2 linked regions of the Elephas maximus indicus genome follow. The protein of the gene in region 1 interacts with the protein of each later gene in a pairwise test. Links are inferred from orthologs where the notes say so. Each region holds a gene or a part of one and is shown on either strand. Other genes may lie near its edges.

The links.
Region 2: the proteins of ZCCHC10 (region 1) and SFMBT1 interact in binary tests that used the Homo sapiens proteins (3 or more experiments, as listed by UniProt). The two-hybrid records come from large-scale screens. The link is inferred for Elephas maximus indicus from reciprocal best matches to the Homo sapiens genes ZCCHC10 and SFMBT1.

Annotation. Positions count from the first base shown.
Region 1 is NC_064820.1:124,403,407-124,413,793, forward strand, and holds the start of ZCCHC10 (zinc finger CCHC domain-containing protein 10), read left to right. Parts: upstream 1-6,271; 5' UTR 6,272-6,301; coding exon 6,302-6,342; intron 6,343-10,387.
Region 2 is NC_064838.1:57,246,381-57,256,436, reverse strand, and holds the start of SFMBT1 (scm-like with four MBT domains protein 1), read left to right. Parts: upstream 1-6,065; 5' UTR 6,066-6,350; intron 6,351-6,371; exon of another isoform or gene 6,372-7,017; intron 7,018-10,056. UniProt on the Homo sapiens protein: Histone-binding protein, which is part of various corepressor complexes. Mediates the recruitment of corepressor complexes to target genes, followed by chromatin compaction and repression of transcription.

The DNA of each region.
Region 1 (10,387 bases):
CAAGGATTCCTTGGGGACAAGTAACAGAAACCCAATTTGAACCATCTTAATCAAAAAAAGGAATTTCCTGGAAGGAAACTGTGGTAACCCAGTGAACCAACGGAGAAGACAAACAATCAAGTCTAGCTGGGTCTTTTCCTCTCTGTCTCTCATCTCTGCTTCTCTCAGCGTGTCATCTTCCTTCTTTCCTACTGCAGACAAGTTTATGTTACCTGACGGGGAACCAGCAAATTCTAAACTCTCAAGTTCGCAGCTTTATGATCACTTCATGAAGCCATGCCACAGCAAAGTGTTGCATCAGGGTCCAAAGACTATGAGGATCCTAAGCAGCTGTGTCTGAAGGTAAGAGAACTTGACACAACTTTTGAGCATTTAGTTTTCAGGCCCTCTAAGAAATGGAAATTAATTAAGGAAGGCAGCTCTTGCCCCATTCCACAGAGCTTCAAGCATCATTCTCAGCCCCAAACCCAGGATCATTTAGAAAACCTGATTTCATACCCACAGAGGCCAAGATCCCCTCTCTCAACTCCACTTGTATGGTCACTCCTTTTTCCAAAACAATTGGCCTCCTTACTTTGAACTTCTCCCTTATGTAGCCAAATTCTCCTATTTTACTGGATGGAGAAGAGCTCTTTGTGTTGTACGTAAAGACATAGGAAGGGAGAACCCACATTTGATTTCATACCAAGGCCCAATTTTATCAGTTACAACACTGAAGTTTCCTGAATAGTTACCACAAGTAGTTGTAAAATGTTATGAAAGGGTAAAAAACATTTTTATTTATTTATTTTTTTAGGGAAAAAACTGATTCTGAGTTCCAGGAAAGGTGGAAAGATCAGCCCTCTCTTCTATTTTGATCTTGGTGTAGCTGGTTTGTATGTGGTCAGAGTCACAAAATATTTTGTAAAAATGCTTTCACCAACTTCTGGTGCAGGACCAGTGCAAAATTTCAAAATTTGCAGGGCCTAGTGCAAAATTAGGAGTTTCCAGGTGTGCAAAGGGATAAGCACTTGACTACTAGCTGAAAGCTTGGTGGCTCTAGCCCACCTAGAGGCACCTCACAAGACAGGCATGGTGATCTGGTTCCAAAAAGTCACAACTTTGAAAACCCTATGGAGCAGTTTTCCATATACATAGGGTCACCATGAGTCGGAATCTACTCAACAGCAACTATACAACAAGAAGTGCAAAATTAAAATGTGGGGCTCCTTCTTCAAAAATTAAGATTTTCAAAACAGTGACAGCAGAGCATTAAACCAATTAAACCCTTCTAAGCGTGGGGCCCTGTGTGACTGCATAGTTTACCCGACCACTAAACATGCTCTGTTCTTGTGTTTAGCCCTCTAACCATAGGCTCTCATAAACAGGCCAGGGACAGGACAGGAAACAGTCAAAGCATCCTGACCAACAGAAACTCAGTTCTGAGAGATGCAGGTCTCGCCTCAGTACACGCCTTTTATATTTATTCCTCCCCTCCCCAGTTTGAGCCAACTTACATAACTAGAAGACACTTTCAGGAGATTTTCTCAGAACAAAGCAATAGTTTGCTTAAAGACTTAGAGTGTTCACTCTTGCCAGATAGAAATTACTTGCAGCTTTCACATGAGTTTTTCATTTTTACGTATTAAATCTATCCATTAAGTTTTACAAAATCTTAGTACCTCCATTGAGGCCCTCAAGCTCATGGGCCTCAATGGAAAGCGGCTACGGTGGCATAGTCTTGTCACTGAGAAAGCAAGTAATTGTTGTGCTTTTATTTTCTGCCTGGCCCTGTCTTACTTATCTTGTGCTGCTATAACAGAAATACCTCAAATGGAGGGCTTTAACAAAGAGAAATTTATTCTCTCACAGTTTAGGACGCTAGAAGCCTGAATTTACGGTACCAGTTCCAGGGGAAGGCTTTGTCTGTCTGTTAGCTCTGGGGGAAGGTTCTCGTCATTAATCTTCCCCTGGTCTAGGAGCTTCAGTGCAGGGACCCCAGGTCCAAAGGACATGTTCCACTCCTGGCTCTCTTTCTTGATAGTATGAGGTCCCTCTCTTCTCTGCTTGATTCTATCTTTTATATCTGAAAAGAGACGGACTCAAGATGCAACCTAATCCTATAGACTGAGTCCTGCCTCATTAACATAACTGCCTTTAAGCCTGCCTCATAAAGGTTAGGATTTACAACAGATAGGATAATCACATCAGATCACAAAATGGTAGACAACCACATAATACTGGGAATCATTGCCTAGCCAAGTTGACACACATTTTGGGGGGACACAATTCATTCCATGACAGGCCCCTATGTTGAACTTTCTAGGAGCTTTTAGTTATTTCTCATACGCTTTCTAGGTGTGCAATCAAATAATCACAAATGATGTCATTTGCTTCCTCCTTTCGATTTGTTGTATCTCTTATTTTGTCTCCTGCCTTTTCATGTTTGCTGTAACGCAGTTTTTTTTTAAGTTTGTTGACAGCTAAAAGAGATTTTAATAACATTTTGTGGGAAACTTGAAAATATGAGAACAAAGCTCGTTTAGAAGAATAAATGCCTAAGAGCAATACAGAAAATTGAGGAAAAAGGAGGGTATATTAAGAGGGATTTGCCTTACCAGGTATCAAAATATCCTATGCTGTTGTTGTTTGCTGTAGAGTCAATTCCAACTTAAAGAACCCCATAAAACAGAGTAGAACTGCCCAATAGGGTTTCCCAGGCTGTAATCTTTATGAAAGCAGATCGCCAAGGATTTTCTTGTGAGGAGCTGCTAGTGACTTAAACAGCCAACGTTTCAATTAACAGCCAAGTGCTTAACCATTGTGCCACCAGGGCTCCTTAAAATATCCTATAGAAGCATGGTAATTAAAACAGTAGAAGTCCTGGCACAAATAGATTTTTGGAAGAAAATAGAATGCATAGACTAAATTTGTCCGTATTTAATACACGAAAGAATGGCATTTCAAATCAATAGAGAAGTGATAGATTATTTAATAAATGGTATTTCAGTAACATAAAAATTAGGACTAAGGTAAAACCATGATAACAAAACTGTATTACAGTTGCAATTATATAATTACAAAAAATATATAAATAATCTTTGGACATAAAAGGCCATTCTAAAAGTGGTCCAAATCTGGGAATCCATAGAGGAAAAGACTGTTAAATATGCCTATATAACAATGCTAAAAAAAAAAAAAAAAAAATCCTCCATAATGGTAAATGATCACAAAGTTAAAAAGACAACAGACAAATTAGGAAAAATATTTGTAACCTATAAAATAAAGGGTTTATTAATAATATTAAAAGTTTCTACAAATAATTTGAAAATTCAACAGGAAAATAGGAAAAAATTTGAACAGACAATTCATGAAAGAAGTACACTGTATCAATGATAATTACAAAAGGTACTTAATATATTGGCTTAGTTTGGGTTCTCTAGAGGAACAAAACCAATGAGATGTATATATGTGTGTATATATATGTATATATACATATAAAACTTCCATTGCCATCAAGTCTATTAGTGACCCTATAATACAGAGTAGAACTGCCCCAAAGGGTTTCCAAGGAGTAGCTGATGGATTCTAACTGCTGACCTTTTGGTTAGCAGCTGGCCTCTTAGCCACTACGCCAGCAGGGTTCCATATATGTATGTAGATGTACCTACATCATATCTATATCTATCGTATACATATCTATCATATCGTATCTATATCTGGTGGTGCAGTGGTTACGAATGCAGCTGTTAACCAAAAGGTCTGCAGTTGGAATCCACCAGCCACTCCTTAGAAACACTATGGGGCAGTTTTATTCTGTCCTATAGGGTTGCTATGAGTCAGGATTGACTTGATGGCAATGGGTTTGTTTCATTTTTGTAAATAAAGAAAGAGAGAGAGAGGAGTTGATTGATTTACTTCAAGGGATTTGCAAATGTAATCGTGGGGCTGGCATGTCCAAAATCCATAGGCCAGGCAGCAGGCCAGAGGCTTCTGCAGTCTCACATTCCAAGATCCACAGACCAGGTGATGAGGTAAGTGCAGGGTCAAAAGAAAGAGAGAAAGTGAGCTCTGCCAGAATATCCGTTTATCCAGTACCAACTGATTGGTTGATCATATCAGATCACATCACAGAAAGTGATTACATTATGGAACAGCAACCAGTCCAATATCTGGCCAAACCACTGAGAACCATAGTGTAGCCAGGCTGACATAAAAAATTAACCATCACATATATGACTTATTAGATAGCTATAAGTTTAAAAGTTTGACCATTCTCTCTTAAAAACTTGTGAGCAGCCATCTAAGATACTCCACTGGTCTCACCCCATCTGGAGCAAGGGAGAATGAAGAAAGTCAAAGATACAAGAAAAAGATTAGTCCAAAGGACTAATGGAGCACAACTGCCATAGCCTCCACCAGACTGAGTGCAGTACAACTAGATGGTGCCCGGCTACCACCACTGACTGCTCTGACAGTGACCACAATAGAGGTTCCCTGACAGAGGTGGAGAAAAATGTAGAACAAAATTCTAATCACAAAAAAGGACTAGACTTATTGGCCTGACAGAGACTGAAGAAACTCTGAGAGTATGTCCCCCGGATGCCTTTTTAGCTCAGTAATGAAGTCACTCCTGAGGTTCACCCTTCAGCCAAAGATTATACAGGGTCATAAAACAGAACAAGACTAAATGGGGACACCAGCCCAGAGGCAAGGACTAGAAGGCAGGAGGGGACAGGAAAGCTGTAACAGAGACCCAAGGTCAAGAAGAGGAGATTGTTGACATGTCATGGGGTTGGTAACCGATGTCACAAAACAATATGTGTACTAATTCTTTAATGAGAAGCTAGTTTGTTCTGTAAACCTTTATCTAAAGTACAATTAAAAAAAAGGAAAAGTTTGACTATTCTCAGTTCTGGGGAGGAAATGGGTTTGGTTACCACCTATTTAAAGGGCAATCTGCTAGTATCTATCAATAGTGTACATACCCTTTGATCCAGCAATTCCACTTGTAGGAAGTCACCCTACAGAAACATTTAAGCATTCATTCTGTTCCTTCCATCTTTGCGGTAAATGATCCAATTGTATAATAATAGGATACTGGTTGGATAAATTGTGGAACATCCAATCTAAAAAAAAAAAAAACCAGTTGCTATTCACTTGATTCTGACCTCGTAGAGACCCACAGAACAGAGTAGAACTGCCCCGTAGAGTTTCCAAGGAGCGCCTTGTGGATTGGAACCGTCAACCTTTTGGTTAGCAGCCATGGCACTTAACCACTACCCCACCAGGGTTTCCAAATAATCTATATAATGTAACAAATAGAAACAATGCATTAAATTTGTATGTGCCGATATGGGGAAAATGTCCGTAATACATTGAGGAATATAAAAAGCAAACTGAAGCACACAACAGATAGTAAGATATCATGTGCTCCAAGGTCACATCAGCATCCTTTCAACTCCCAAAACTAATCACTTGTAACCACCTTATACTGAACTACTTTTCTTTGGAATGCTGTACTTCTGCTCACTGGACAGTCTTCATGTGTTTGCTTACTGTCTGTGGAAAGCTCCATGTGCACAAGGACTTTATTTTTTCAATGCTCTATCCTCAGTTCCTAAAACATTTTAAGTGTCTAATAATTAATTCAAAAAATATGGAGTAACACAGATATATATATATATATATGAACTTTATGTTTCAAACAATGTGGATTTAAGAGAATATCCCCATGATCTAATGTTAAATATATGTACAGCTAAAATATAATATTTGTGTCATCGTTTTCCAATTGACAAAGTTTCACTTATATAGTCTCATTTGGCCCTTACAACATCCCTCTGAAATACATAAAAATAATTAACAGATGCTTGCACTTCACGGTTTGTTAAAGCCATTCTTTCAACTGATGGTCACAGACCTGTTAACTTATCCCTTCCTGTTTACTTGCAAGGCTACTCCTAGTTTTTAGAACACTGCATACTGTCTTTGTATATGGAGTTCCGTAGTTCCAAAATGTTCTTCCCTGCCTCCGCATCCCCGCATCATACGTGTACTCATCCTTCAAAACCCACTTGTAGGCCCGACAGCTGGCCTCCCCGCTCTTCCTCAAACTCAGGGACCCACACAGCAGACACCTGCGATCACACAGCAGACACCTGCGATCACACACCACCCACTCTCTGTAACTGGAAGCTGCCTGAGAGACACTCGAGGCCCGTCTGGCTCCGCCCACGTCTGCGGCCTCCGGGGTTCGAAGTCTCCGCCCCCTCCGAGGAGTTTCCCAAGACCCAGCGCGGCACTTCTCAGCCGCGCTAAGATGGCGACTCCCATGCACCGGCTCATAGCCCGGAGACAGGCGTAAGTAAGGGACCGTTTCGGGCCCCAGGGTGAGCTGGAGACGAGGAGATACGCGTCAACCGACTGATGAGCGGGCGCTGGGATGCGGGGCCGTTTCTGCATCCCCACTGGGGACCGGCGGAGGGTGGGCGTTCTTTTTACACGTCACCTGCTCTCGAGGGTCTCGGGCCCGGGTGGTTAAGTTTGGTGCCCACTGTCTAGCGATTTCGCGGAGGACGACGTACGCTTATATAAGGTCCACGGGTCTGGACAGAGGTTGGTTTGAGGAGAGCCGCCGCATTTGTTTCCTCTGAAGGGGACGCCCAGGAGTTGGTTACTGAGTGGTTTCGTGACGGAGAGTGTGCCTCTCAGCCCACTCAGTCGACCACCCTACGCACGACCAAGGGAGGCTTGAAGCTCTGATCGGACTCCACCACTCTCGCCGAGATACCCTTCAGCCCCCTGTGAAGTCTCAGCTCAGCTGACTTTTCCTGCCCCCTCACTATCGACTTCCCTACAAGCGGCAGAACTGTAAGGCCAACTTTTCTCCCACGCTATCCCCTGGTTTTCTACCATTCATGTACTCTGTCAACAAACGTTTATTCAGTACCTACTGCTCTGTGCAAGAATTTGAATGTAAAAAAAAGAGGTGTTCCAGATAGAATCCCTGCTTTCAGGGAGCTTACATTCTAGTGGTGGAGATAATCAATAAACCAAACAAATTTAGTAAGTACAGTTAGTGATGAGAACTTTAAAGGAAATAAAGTAAGATAAAAAGGAGCCCTGGTGGTGCAATGCTTAAGTGCTCGGCTGCTAACCTAGAGGTTGGTGGTTCAAACTCACCCTTGCTCTGTGGAAGAGGGAGGTGGCAGTTGGCTTTCCTAAAGATTTACAGCCTTGGAAACCCAGTGGGGCAGTTCTACTCTGTCCCATAGGGTCTCTGTGAATTGGAATTGACTCGATGGCAAGGGGTATGGTGTGATGTGTAAGAGGAAAAAACCCACTTAAAATTGGGTGAACTGAAAAGGCATCTCTTAAAAGGTGGAATTTGAACAAAGATTATAAGGGAGGGAAAGGAGGCAGTCATGAGCAGACTTGGGGAAGAGTATCCAGACAATGGCATAATTGCTTTGAGGCTGGAAAAACTTAGTTTTAAGAACTGAAAGAAGGCCATTGTAGCCCATGGGCAAGAGAGAGTGGAACAAGCTAAAATTACAGCGGTTTGTGGCAGACATAATGCAGGAGCCATCCCAAATGTCCCCTTCTTGTAAAGCCTTCTACCAACATGCACACAAACAACCTCAGCCCCTTCATTCTCTCATCATTTCATGCCATCACTGTGTGCACATCTCTAATGCATAGATCACCATATATATTTGTTTATAGTTCTTTTTATATTTACATTTCTAATCTCAGATCCCTGTTCTTTCTCTTTTCCTCTTCATCTGACCCTACTCTCATGAGGAGCTCAAGGAGAGCGTGTAAGGATAAAGACTCAGGGAGTTAGAGAAGTAAACTTGGTTGAAGAGAACTTCAAAGTCACACAGTTCTGAGATCAAGAATGAGGTGATAATAATACTTAATAGGACTGCTAAGTGATGTCACCAGGGTCCCATATCTCCCTGTCTTTCTCTAGTGTGCTCTTTTGGGTGTTGGCTCCACACTTGGATAGGATCTCTCCTTTGGTCCCAAGATAGCTGCCGTATCTAGGGTCCTTTTATGTCCTTTCAGCTTCAACTCCTTCAAATAAGGCAAAAATGATTTTATCTCATTGGTCTTGATTGTGTTACATGACCAACCCTGAACCATGTTTTTGAGAATTGTGAAGCCCTGATTGCCCTAGATTGCATTCGTCGCCCAGTACAATTGGCCATTTTACCATAAACCAATGATGAGCTGGGTGGGAAGGTCAGAAGTGGTGAATGAATGCCGGATTGGCAAAACTAGCCTATGTCTACTGTAAATATGAAGTAAAAACAAGACTTTAGCAACCAAAGAAAATTACCGTTTGTTTTTCACAGTATCAGAAAGATTAACAAAGGTAATGTTTCTAGAGTGTGCCTGGTTTTGGTACATAAGCCACACAGAAATAGAAAACAAATCTTACCTTTAGGAGCTTCTGGTCGTGTTGGGAAGAAAACATGTGCTGTATAATAAAAGATGGTGTCGTATATAGACTAAGTTACCCAGGGATTCAGAGAAGAAGGTACTTTATAGGCTAGGGGAGTCCAGGAATGTTTGGAGAATATACAAGAGTGGAGACAGCAGGAGAGGAGCCTTTACTTTTCATTTTATATTCAACAAAAAGATTTCATTTTATGTATAACGGGCATATATTACTTTCATAATAGTAAGTTTAAAACTTTGTTTTAGGGTTATGAGAAGTGAGGAAGTATATTGTTTTCATTCTTTAATAAACTTTCTGGATTAATAGACAAGGGGTGAGGGTGGAGAGGAATAAAAGAAAAAAAAGAAAGTGAGCCTAAATTTGAACTCCCCATTCAGTATATCTTCCTGGAACTTTTTATTATCAAGCTCCTTTAAGTCAGTTGGGATGAAATTACTTCATCTTGTGAATTATAATGACATCTGCCCATACGTAAGTAGATTGTAGAATCTTGGCACTATCCACTGTCTTCTACTAAACCCTCTACTGGTTTCCATTATTTGCTCGTCAGCATCCAGAGTAGCCATCTAATTTTGCCTTGAAGACGTCTAGTAATGACAAACTCACTACCTCCTGAAGTGAGTTGTTACACTTTTCAAGTCTGTCCAAAAGTTTATGTTGAGCTGGAAGGAAAAGAATATTTATGAAGGCAAAACCTTCTAACTTCCCTGCTTTTGACCCAAGCTGTGATTTCAGTTAGTTAAAAACCCTAAGTGTTTCCCACATGAACTGGCATCAAGTCTGGCCTCCCCTGTCCTGTATTTGTATTGATTTTCTGGAATTCAGTGTCAGACTTACTTTTATCCTTGTTAACTTTCATCTTGTTAGACTTGACACAGAGTTCCAGCCTTTCAAGATCTTTTTAGATCCTGATTTGGTCATCTACCATATTAGCTATCCCTCTCAGCTTTGTGTCAACTGCAGGTTTGATAAATATGAACAACTGTGTCCTCATCCAAGGCATTGATAAAAATGTTGGACAAGACCAAATTGAGGACAAAAACCCTGCAAGCAACCATTGGATACCTCTCTGTATATTTCAGCCCATTAAACAGCACTCTGTCCTTGATGTTCAGCTGATTGTAAATCTACTTAAGGTTCATAAAGGTAATTGTGAGAAACTTCTAAGATGCCTTATTGAAGTACAGATACACAACAGGCAATGAGGTATTAGTCTGTAATGATTTGACACCTAATGATCACGGCTTCTCTTTCTGAGTAGATTTAATAAATCCAGCCAGAATTTTTCATAGAATAGATGTCAAGTTCATTGGTCTAGTTTGTGGAATCTACCTTTTTTCCCCTTTGAAAATCAAAACAGCATTTGACTACCTATAGTCTCTCAGCATCACTCCTGTTTGCCAAAGTTCCTCAGATTACCAGCAGCAGTACAGCAGTCTCACCTGGAAAATCTCTCAGTATGTAGGGGAGTAGTTCACCTGCGCCACGTGACAGTTAAGGTCTCCTTTACCCACTCCTTAGGTATCTTGGGCTTCAATTTTACTCTTTTCATTCTGCGTATAATTTTTTTGAGAGTTAAGACAGGAGCAAAATAAAAATAGTCTTGTTTGCTCTCTGATGACAACATTGGTGTCCTGTTTCCCTAGCACCTCCAATCATGAGCCTGTCTCTTTTTTTGATTCTTTGTGCTTTGAATATAACCAAAACTATAAAACCATTTTTTATGTTCTTGGTATTTTTCATTCAGCTCTTTTTGACAGAAGTCTTCCAGATATTTCTCTTACAGGCTTTTACTACTCTTCTGTACTCTTCCTTAGTTATATGTTCTTTTTAAAAATGTCATTTAAAATATTGTTTTATGATTTTGCATGCAGTCTGTATTCATTATAGAAAAGTTAGGAAATATGCATAAGGGGGAGAAAAAGGATTATAACCCTA
Region 2 (10,056 bases), on another chromosome or scaffold:
CCCTGCTCCCTCCTGGGTTGTCCCCACACCCAGATCCTTTCCAGCTAGATCCCAGTACCTCTGTGTTGTCTGCAGGCTAAGGAGAGATGGCCCTGGACACCGAAGTTTCTTGATGGTATACTGTGAACATGTATGTCTTCAGGACAGCTCACGCACCAGGGACACTTGGCCTGGAGAGCTTGTCTCAGCCGCATGGTCAGTATAGGATCAGCAGTGGAATCAACCTGAGGAGCTGCTCCCTGTTTTCCCTTGCCTTGCTGAGGGTCCTTGGTCACTTGCTTGGTGCCCATGATCTCTTCTTAATAGATAAGAAGTCGAAGGTGTGAAAAGGTTTAAAAGTACAAGGCACAATAACATAAAATTGAGAACTTTGTGCCCATTAGCTTATTATCCTATGAATTGGGAAAAGAGGGCTGTGGAGACAGAGAAGAATCCCTGGGGATGAGTGAGGCATGGCCCTGGGCTTGTGGCGCTCATGGATGGAGAAGGGAGGTGAGGGGTCTGTGCCTGGCCCACGGCTGGCGACTAAGGAAAAACAATTATATCTCATAGTTCTGTTATGTTTTACAGTTTGCAAAGAGTGTTTACAAACATCATCGCCTTGGAGTCTCAAAACCCAGGGAGGTAGATGGCCTTCATCCCCATTTTGCAGAGATGACGAAACAAGGCCCAGAAAGGTAAAGGCCCAGAGCAGGTCCCATGGAAGATTCCCACAGAGAAGCCGTGGCTTAATCTGGGCTTGACCCCAGGGTGTCTGCCTTCTAGCCTAGCACTTTTTCCCTTACAACATACCCTAGGGAAGAGGGGTGTCTTGGGGATTTGCAGGAGCCAAGACAGAGACAGGTAGGGCAGGTATGGGGGGACACATGGCAGAAGCCAGCTGAGCTCAGCAGAGAGCAGCATGGCTTGAGCAGTGGTTTTCTGGTGGTGATCACTTGACCACTCCGGTAATTAGTCTCAGGGAATCATTACATGGCTCGCTTCACTTGGGCTGACTGAAGGGAGCTGGCTGGTCAGTGGCAACGGCAGGCTGCTGATTGCTGATGGCAGGGCTTGGCAGGGCTGTGGAACTTAAATTCTTGGGTTGAAAATGGCTCTGCCAGTCCCTGGGGTCCAGCCTCGGACCTTGGGTTCTCACCCAGGATAGGACCCTGAGCTGATGCTCACCCCAGAGAGCAGGCCTGCTCGGAAGTAGCAGGCAAGGCTCCGGGGGACCAGGGTCCATATGGAACGACCAACAACTGACCCCTCGGTCAGTGAGGATGGGAACCATAGCCCTTACCCTAGAGAGCTGGCAGGGAGACTGTCTTAGTCATCTAGTGCTGCTGTAACAGAAATACCACAAGTAGATGACTTAAACAAAGAGAAATTTATTTCTTCACAGTAAAGTAGGCTAAAAGTCCAAATTCGTGTCGTCAGCTCCAGGGGAAGATTTTCTCTTCCTGCTGGCCTTCGCATCAATCTTTCCCCAGACTAGGAGCTTCTCTGTGCAGAGACCTTGGGTTCAAAGGACATGCTCTGCTCCTGGCGCTGCTTTCTTGGTGGTATGAGGTCCCCCTGTCTCTCTGCTTGCTTCTTCCTTTTATATCTCAAGAGATTGCCTCAAGACACAATTCAATTTTGTAGATTGAGTCTTGCCTCACTAACAACTGCCAGCCATGCTCCCTTATTAACATCACAGAGGCAGGATTTACAACATATATGAAAATCACACGATACCGGGAATCATGGCCCAGCCAAATCGATACACACATTTTTGGGGGGACATAATTCAATCCATGACGGAGACCAAGTTGGGAATGGCCAGAGACTGGGCATGCCAGCCTCTGGTCTTGGATGCTGCCAAATGACCGGCTAGCCACCCACTGCCTCTAGGGGTCATTGTCCAGATAAGGAAAGGGCTGGCCTCATGGTGAACAAGACAGGCACATCTCTGCACTCAGGCAACTGATGTCTGTCTGTAGGGGGTAGAGAGGAGACAGAGCCCAAACAAATGACAAACAAACATGGGTATAAATTGTAAATACTAACTGTGAAGGAAACAGGTAGGGGAAAGAGAGAGGGAATCTGTTTAGATGGGGTGGGTAGGGAAGGTCTCTTTTAAACAGACACCAGAACAATGAGAAGGTAGAGATTGTGCTAGGCAGTAGGAAGAGCATATGCGAGGGCCCTGAGGTGGGAGGGAACTTGGCACATTTATGGAATGGAAAGGAGACAGGTGCAGCTGAAATGCAGTGAGAAACGCAGGTGAGTGATGGCAGATGAATTTGGAGGTGGGCAGGGCCAGCCTTGTAGGCCAAAGTAAGGCTTTTGGACTTACTCAAATTGATGGGAAGCCTTGGGAGGCTTTCAGGTTGTGGTGTGCCATGAAAAGAAGTCAGTTTTCCACAGGTTACTCTGGCTCTATGCTTCTCCGGGGGCTGTCTGTTCTGTGAATAACTGCCCACCTGAATTTCCAAGTAGCAGGGTGGCTGAGGAGCTGGCATACCTGGTTCATGGCCTAGTTTTGTCTCTCACTAAGGGTGACCTGGGAGGCCCTGGTTTGCTGTTCTTTTATTGGGTATGCCTCCACTACCCTGACGGATGCTTAGAGGCCGTCACCACACTTACCACACAGGGCCCAGTGCAAGGAAGGTGCTCAAACGACGCTTTCAACCATTCCTCATGGTTGTCTGATTTTCCTTTTCCTTAGGGGTCATGAAGGTGAGTGGTGGAGAGAGGCTGGAATTAATGAAGGACCTACCTCGATTTTGTCTGCGAGATTTAAAATATTTGAATACATTGAAAGATAGTGCATGTCCTCGTTAGTAAAGTACAGTGTTATAGAATATTTGATCTGTTCAAGCTACTTCATAGGTTTGATGCAACTTCATGCAAAATCACAATATGAGTTTTTTGGAACTAAAAGTATCAGCAACAACAATTACTGACATTTAGCAAGCATTTACTACATGCCAGGCATGGAACTTGTGAGGCAAGTGTTGCTGTCATCCCTGTGTCATAGACTAGGACCCTGAGACCTAGAGGAGATAAGTAAATTGCTAAGATTACAGATCTGGAAAGTGTTGAACCTGGGTGGTCTATCCCCAAATGTAAACTAGTGTGGATACCAAGTGAATTTCCATATTGTCTTTTCATTTGTGGTTAAAAAAAAAAAAAAAAAATCCCACAAGGGGGAATCTTACCCCTGTCAGATGTTACAGCCTATTTCAAAGAACCAATATTTATGTCCCTGTAGTATTTGCTCAGACCAAGGTCTTTGGAAGGAAATGGAAAATTCAGAAATAGACCAACCAAAATCAAAATCCTGACATAAAATCTAACCTAAAAGTAGGTTTGACTGAACAAAGGGTAAGGGAAGACTTATTTAATAAATGGTGTCTGCATAATCAGATAACAACTGGTTACAGTGGCAGTGAGTTAAATTCCTATTTTACTCCACACAGCATGATAAACTGGGGACGGATAATCATCAAAGAATTAAATATAAAATGGAATTGTAGAAAAACTAGCAGAAAATAGATTATCAGATGGGTGGAAGAAAGCTCACTTTGTTGGGACTGAAGCAATAAAAAAATCACAAAGGACTAGAATGACAGATTGAACATTAAAATAAAATGAACGAAAATAACAGACTGGGAAATATTTGCATCAATGATGACAAAGGAATAGTATCTGTAATTAAAAAAAAAAAATGCTGTTCAAAGTTAGAAGGTCAAGTCCCCAAGAGATGGAAGGATATGAACAGTTGGTTCACAGAAGGGGGATTAGGGATAGTAAATGCATGGAAAAAAATTCATTTTTGAAAGTCATCTAGGAAATGTTAATTAAGGTAACCTTGAACTACCAATAGACAATAGGAAAGTAGGGGGAAACATGGTACCAAATGCTTAGAAATGTTATGTTGAACTCCTTATGCTTATTTCTAGGAGGTGGTAGAGTGAGGGAGGGCAGCTTTTTGAGAAAGTCAAATGCCAGGGCAGGACCAGCTGCCTTCCATCTGATTATTCAACTCCTGGGAATTTGTCCCAAGTGCAGAATTCAAAAATGTATTAGCAAACATTTGTAAAGAACCAAAATATACTATATTACGGGACTGAGTGGATAGATGAAGATACCTGCACCCCTTAAAAATGAATCAGGTGACTGCCCATCAACGGATGAATGGATAAATAAATTATGGTATATTCATACAATGGAATACTACGCATCGACAAAGAACAGTGAGGAATCTGTGAAACATTTCATAACATGGAGGAATCTGGAAGGCATTATGCTGAATGAAATTAGTCAGTTGCAAAAGGACAAATATTGTACAAGACCACAATTATATGAACTTGAGGAACAGTTTAAACAGAGAAGAAAATATTCTTTGATGGTTACGAGAGGGGGAAGGGAGGGAGGGTGGGAGAGGGATTTTCACTAATTAGATAGTAGATAAGAACTACTATAGGTGGTGGGAAAGACAACACACAATACCAGCGAGGTCAGCACAACTGGACTAAACCAAAAGCAAAGAAGTTTCCTGAATAAACTGAATGCTTCGAAGGCCAGCGTAGCAGGGGCAGGGGTCTGGGGACCATGGTTTCAGGGGACATCTATGTCATTTGGCATAATAAAATCTATTAAGAAAACACTCTGCATCCCACTTTGGAGAGTGGCGTCTGGGGTCTTAAATGCTAGCAAGCATCCATCTAAGATGCATCAATTGGTCTCAACCCACCTGGATCAAAGGAGAGTCAAGAACACCAAGGACAAAAGGTAATTACGAGCCCAAGAGACAGAAAGGGCCACATAAACCAGAGACTACATCAGCCTGAGACCAGAAGAACTGGATGGTGCCTAGCTACAACCGATGACTGCCCTGACAGGGACCACAACAGAGAAACCCTGAGGGGGCAGGAGAGCAGTGGGATGCAGACCCCAAATTCTCCTAAGAAGACCAGACTTAATGGTCTGATTGAGACTGTAAGGACCCCAGTGGTCATGGCCCCCAGACCTTCTGTTGGCCCAGGACAGGAACCACTCCCAAAGCCAACTCTTCAGGCAGGGACTGGACTGGACAATGGGTTGGAGAGGAGTGAGCTTCTTGGATCAGGTGCACACTTGAGACTATGTTGGCATCTCCTCTCCGGAGGGGAGATGAGAGGGTAAAGGGGGTTAGAAGCTGGTGAAATGGACACGAAAAGAGAGACTGGAAGGAGGGAGCAGATTGTCTCATTAGGGGAAGAGCAATTGGGAGTATGTAGCAAGGTGTACATAAGTTTTTGTGTGAGAGACTGACTTCATTTGTAAATTTTCACTTAAAGCACAATAAAAATTAAAAAAAAAGAATCAGGCGGAGAAAAGAAAAATGTTAGTGAAAGCAGCAAAACACAAAAGTATGCAACTATGCAAAAACATATTTACGGAAGATTTTCTGCTTGAAAAGTTGCGTTCTGTAGTAGCATTATGGATACTTTATTCTTTTTACATTTTTCTTTCTCTCTGCTTGTTGTATTCTCTTTTCACTAGATAAAAAAAAAAAAAACAAAACAAAAACGTGGATTCAAATCCAGCCAGCAGTGTAACTTTGAGCAAGTTTGTCTGTAAAATGAGGTAACATTCCCAGCGCGGTGGTGAGGGCAGTAGGAGGTGGCCTGAGCGGGTGTTTGGCACACTGTGGGTATCCCAGACCTCTCCCTAGAGTCGAGGTCGCCTCCTCCTTCCTGAACAGCAGGAACCCTCCCCGCCCAGTCCGAGACCTTCCCCGGGCCAGGGAGTCTGAGAGGTGGGGGGTGGGCGGCGAAGGAAACCTCCCTTAGGAGGGAATTTTCTGGAGCAGGTGTGTGGGGGTGTGCCCCACGGGCACCTGTGCTCGCTAGGGAAGTTTCGCTCTCGGGGACTGCGACCACCCGTAGCCACCTCGGGCTGCAGGGCTGGCTTGCAGCCACCCTCGAGGTTCTATTCCATCCGAGGCCCCAGCTCTCCAGCCAAGATTCCGCAGCGGTCCAGTGCCCTCGCCGGTGTCCTGAGCGGCAAGGAGAACTCGGATTTACAGGGAGCCTCCTGCGGAAGCCTAGGGAAACCGGGTGCGCCGGGAACCTGGGTTGCACTTCGCACACAGGGGCCACTTGGGGGCCATTCCAGGTCGAAAAGAACGCGCCCGTCCCCGACGTGGGTCAGGCGGGCGGGCGCAGCTCCCCCGGCCACCACGCGCGCCCATCTGGGGCCGGGCGGCGCTCCGTTCTCTCCTCCGCTAATGCCATCGTGCCCGCGGCGGTGACGTGCGGGCGACAGCGGCGCGCTTCGCCTGGGCCCGGACGCCAAAACCGACCCGGGGACGCCAGCGGATCCGTCCACAGCCTGGGGTGAGGCGCGGGCCCGTCCCTCCGGATCCGAACAGGGCCAGGGCGGGCGCTGGTCCCCGTGGACGTGTCCCCCCGTCGGGGCCCGTCTGCGCAAGGCCACCGCGCCGTCGGGGACCCGAGGAGACGCCGCGTCCCGGCGCCACGGCCTCCCGGGCATCCGCGGCGAGTTGCGGGCTGGAGGCGCGAGGGGCCGAGGGCGCGGGCGGCTGGCAGAGCTGCGGACCGCTGGCAGCACTCGACCCTCGCCTCCTCCCGCGTCCCCGGCTGGCCCAGCGGGAAGACGCGCGGGCGAGCGCGGGGAGGCCAAGCTGGGGGCGCCACGCGCGCGACGCGAGGGGCGCGGGCTGCCGGGAGGACCGCGGAGGTGAGGGGGTGGGGGGGCGCGGGCGCATGCGCCCTGCGCCTGTGCCATATTGGAATGAGTCGGAGCGCGGAGCGCCGCCGCCGCCTCCGCCGGAGCGCGGGTGGAGGGGGGCGGGGAGAGCTGCCGGCCGCCCGCTCCGCCGAGCCCAGCAGGAAGGAGGGCGCGAGCGGGCGAGCGCAGGCGGCGCAAGCGGAAAAAGCGCCCGCTCGGGGAAGCAAAAAGAAGGAAAGAAAGAAAGAGAACGAGCGCGAGAGGAAAAAAAGCGAGCGATTGAGCCAGCGCGCGCGCGAAAACTCCCGGCAGGTAAAAAAGCGGGCCGCCAGCTGGGCCTTCCCGCGCGGCGGCCTGAAGGGGCGGCGGCGGCGCCGGGGTGGGGAACCCGCGGCGCCCCCCTCGAGGCGGCCGCGCAACTTTGCCAACGGAAAATCGCCGGGCGCCGGCAGGCGCGCAGGCTGAGGCGCCAACGGGCGGCGGCGGCACGTTGGGGGCGGGGGCGGAGCGGGGGGAGCGCGGCGTCTGCGCGCGCCCGCGTCCCCGCTCGTCCCCGCGCGCCGGCCGCCCCGGCTGCAGGAGCGCGCCTGGGCGCCTCGCCGCGGCGGAGAGCGGCGGCGGCGGCCGTCAGTGCCGGCTCGGCGGCGCGCGTCAGCCCGCGGGAGGCGTGAAAGGAAAGTGTCCGGGCCAAGGCACGGGCGGGCGCCCAAGTTCCCGGCACGCTGGGCCCGCCGCGCGCCCCTCCCTGCGCCGCGCGCCCCGCCCCGCGCTCCCGCCCGCCGAGCCCCTGCGGACCCGCCCCCCGGGCTCGCTCCGGGGCCGAGGCGCGAACTCGCAGCGGGAGCCGGGGGCGCGCCGCCCGCGCGGCCGGGCCGAACTTCGCTGTGCCGAGGTGACCGCTGCGCGACTGCGAAGCGCCTAGCGGCCACCGCAACCGGTTGCTTCGGGCGTTGTGCAGTCCGCGGGGCCTCCCGGCGCCGCGCGCGAGCGGGCAGTGGGCTCGCCGGGTTCGCCGCCTGACCCCGAGCGGACCTGTTCAGCGTCCCGACCCGCCGTGCCACCCTGGAGATCCGTGACCGTTTCCATTCCTGTTGTTAAAGCCTTGTGCTGGGCACTGGGAAGGAGGCTGTGGAGAGGCAGGCAGTGTCCTGAAAAGCAAGGCCTGCTTTGTGGGGAGCACAAACGCCTTGTGAGAACAGAAATAAATTCCCGCGGGAAGGATGTATGTTAAGTTTTTCACAAAATGTCAGCTTTTCAGGCGGAGTCTAAATCTAAAGTGTAATGCCTAGGTCACACACAGGTGTTGTTGTGCTCAAGGAGTGGGGTTCTGGCGTTAAATAATCGGGAAGGGGGGAGGAAGACACTCCCATCAAAACTCAGGCAGAGTTGACCTAAGTGGGGGTTGTTCCCAGCGGGTCGCTCAAAGCAATCCTGGTTAATGGCCCCAAGTGATGTTTTGTGAGTCCTGTTCAGCAGCGATATGTTTTTGAGAACCAAGGCACCGTCAAAGAGATTTGAAGGGAGCTTAGATGGGTTTTAGCAGCGCCCCCCCACCCCGCGTGCCTTTTCCTCTTGAACCACATTTAGAAGATGTTAGACTTATTTTTTTTTTTTTTTGTATCTGAAGTAAAATGTCTGAAAATGTAATTGTTAATTGAGCAACTGTCTTGAGAGGATGAAGGGAGACGTATGTCTCTGTGAGGACACTTTGGGGCCTGTTGACCTCGTATTTTAAAGAAGGGGTTGCATGTTTCTAGGCCACAGATAGATTCAAAGTTCTGATTTGTTTACAATGTCAGAAAATAACGGCCTCGTGGGAAGGGAGTGGCCCAAGATCAGGAAACAGCTCTGTTACTGCCCTTGTCTTCTGGGTATCTTACCCTGGGTGCCTTCCTTACTCAGCCTTTATAGAACTGATTTTCCGCGTGCAGAATTAGGGGATGGATAGTTCATTTTTCAGTGTGCTTTAAGTTCTAAAATTTGACTTTCTTTTTTTTTTAAAAAAAGATCTAGAAAAATCACAGTCTAATTTTTGAAAAGTTCTACATAAAAGTGCTCACAATATGAATTTTTATTAAAATACATTTGGGAAAACATCTTGGTCAGCTATATTATCTGAACAAAGACTGAAAAATGTATTTGAATGTGTTTTAAAAATTATATTTACTCTTTTATTGAGTATAACTTACAGTAAGAGCTTGAGAGCACACTCAGTGACTTCTTACGTATATACGCTCTGATAACCACAATCCAATCAAGATACAGAGCATTTTCAGCTCTCCAAAGGGCTCCCTTTGTATCTCCTCCCCTTCAGTAAACACCTCCCTACTCCCCAAGGCGACCACTGTTGTGACTTGAGCCTCAGACCAGAACCCTTTTGAGGGTGGATTAAACCCAAGAACAGCAGGTATAAACCAGGAGATGTAGTCATCCTAGTCACAACCCTATGCTTTTATACTGATTCTTAGGGTTTTCATTGTCCACAATAGCTTAAAATTCTGACCTGAGAACTGAGAGTTTAGATCTGTGGTTCTAGGAAATCCTTGGTTCACAGGCACGGTTTGAATCTACTACTCCCCCGTTTTTAGAATACAGATATATTTGCAAACATTAGGTTTGAAAGATGAATCATGAATTTTCCGAAGTGAGAATTTAAGGTGTCAGTAGATGAACCAGTTTCTTGAAACTTAGAATCTCCCGAGGAGGAACATGTAAAAATCGATCTTTTAAAGTTCATTGAATGGAAGAATATGGATATAAAGCATTAAAAACCTTTTCAATGACACCAATGAACTTGATTTATATATGCAAGATAGTCTCCTGCTTTATCCAGCCATCAAAACTGGAACAGTGGAAGCAAAAACAGAAGGTAACTAAAAATTATGTCAGGTGTGGTTTTTTCTTAAATCTCAACATTGGATCCTTTTTTATATTAGACCTCTAGAAAGGTGGATTTTTTAAAATGTTCTCTACTGAAGCAATACTGCAACAATTTGCTTATCCTTCCCAAGGGCCTTTTAATATATTCTTATACTCTCGGTTCTGTTGCTAAAGGAGAGGAGTTATTTGTTCTAAGTAAATTCGTATTTTGTTAGTTCCTCACAAAGGCCTGTCTTTTTTATTTCACGGACATGTTTGTGATAGGAAGTTGGGAAGCATCTAAGGCCTGTGGTAGGGATATATGAGAAATAGTTGACGATGTGTTAGATTTTTCTTTCGTGACATGGTTCTGGTTATCTGTGACTCAGCCAACTGACTGGTCAACAGCTAAACCCAACAGTGCCTCGTTAGCCAAGAGACTAATTGATGATTTAGTTATTACTGATTTATCTTTTTTTTTTTTTGTATGTG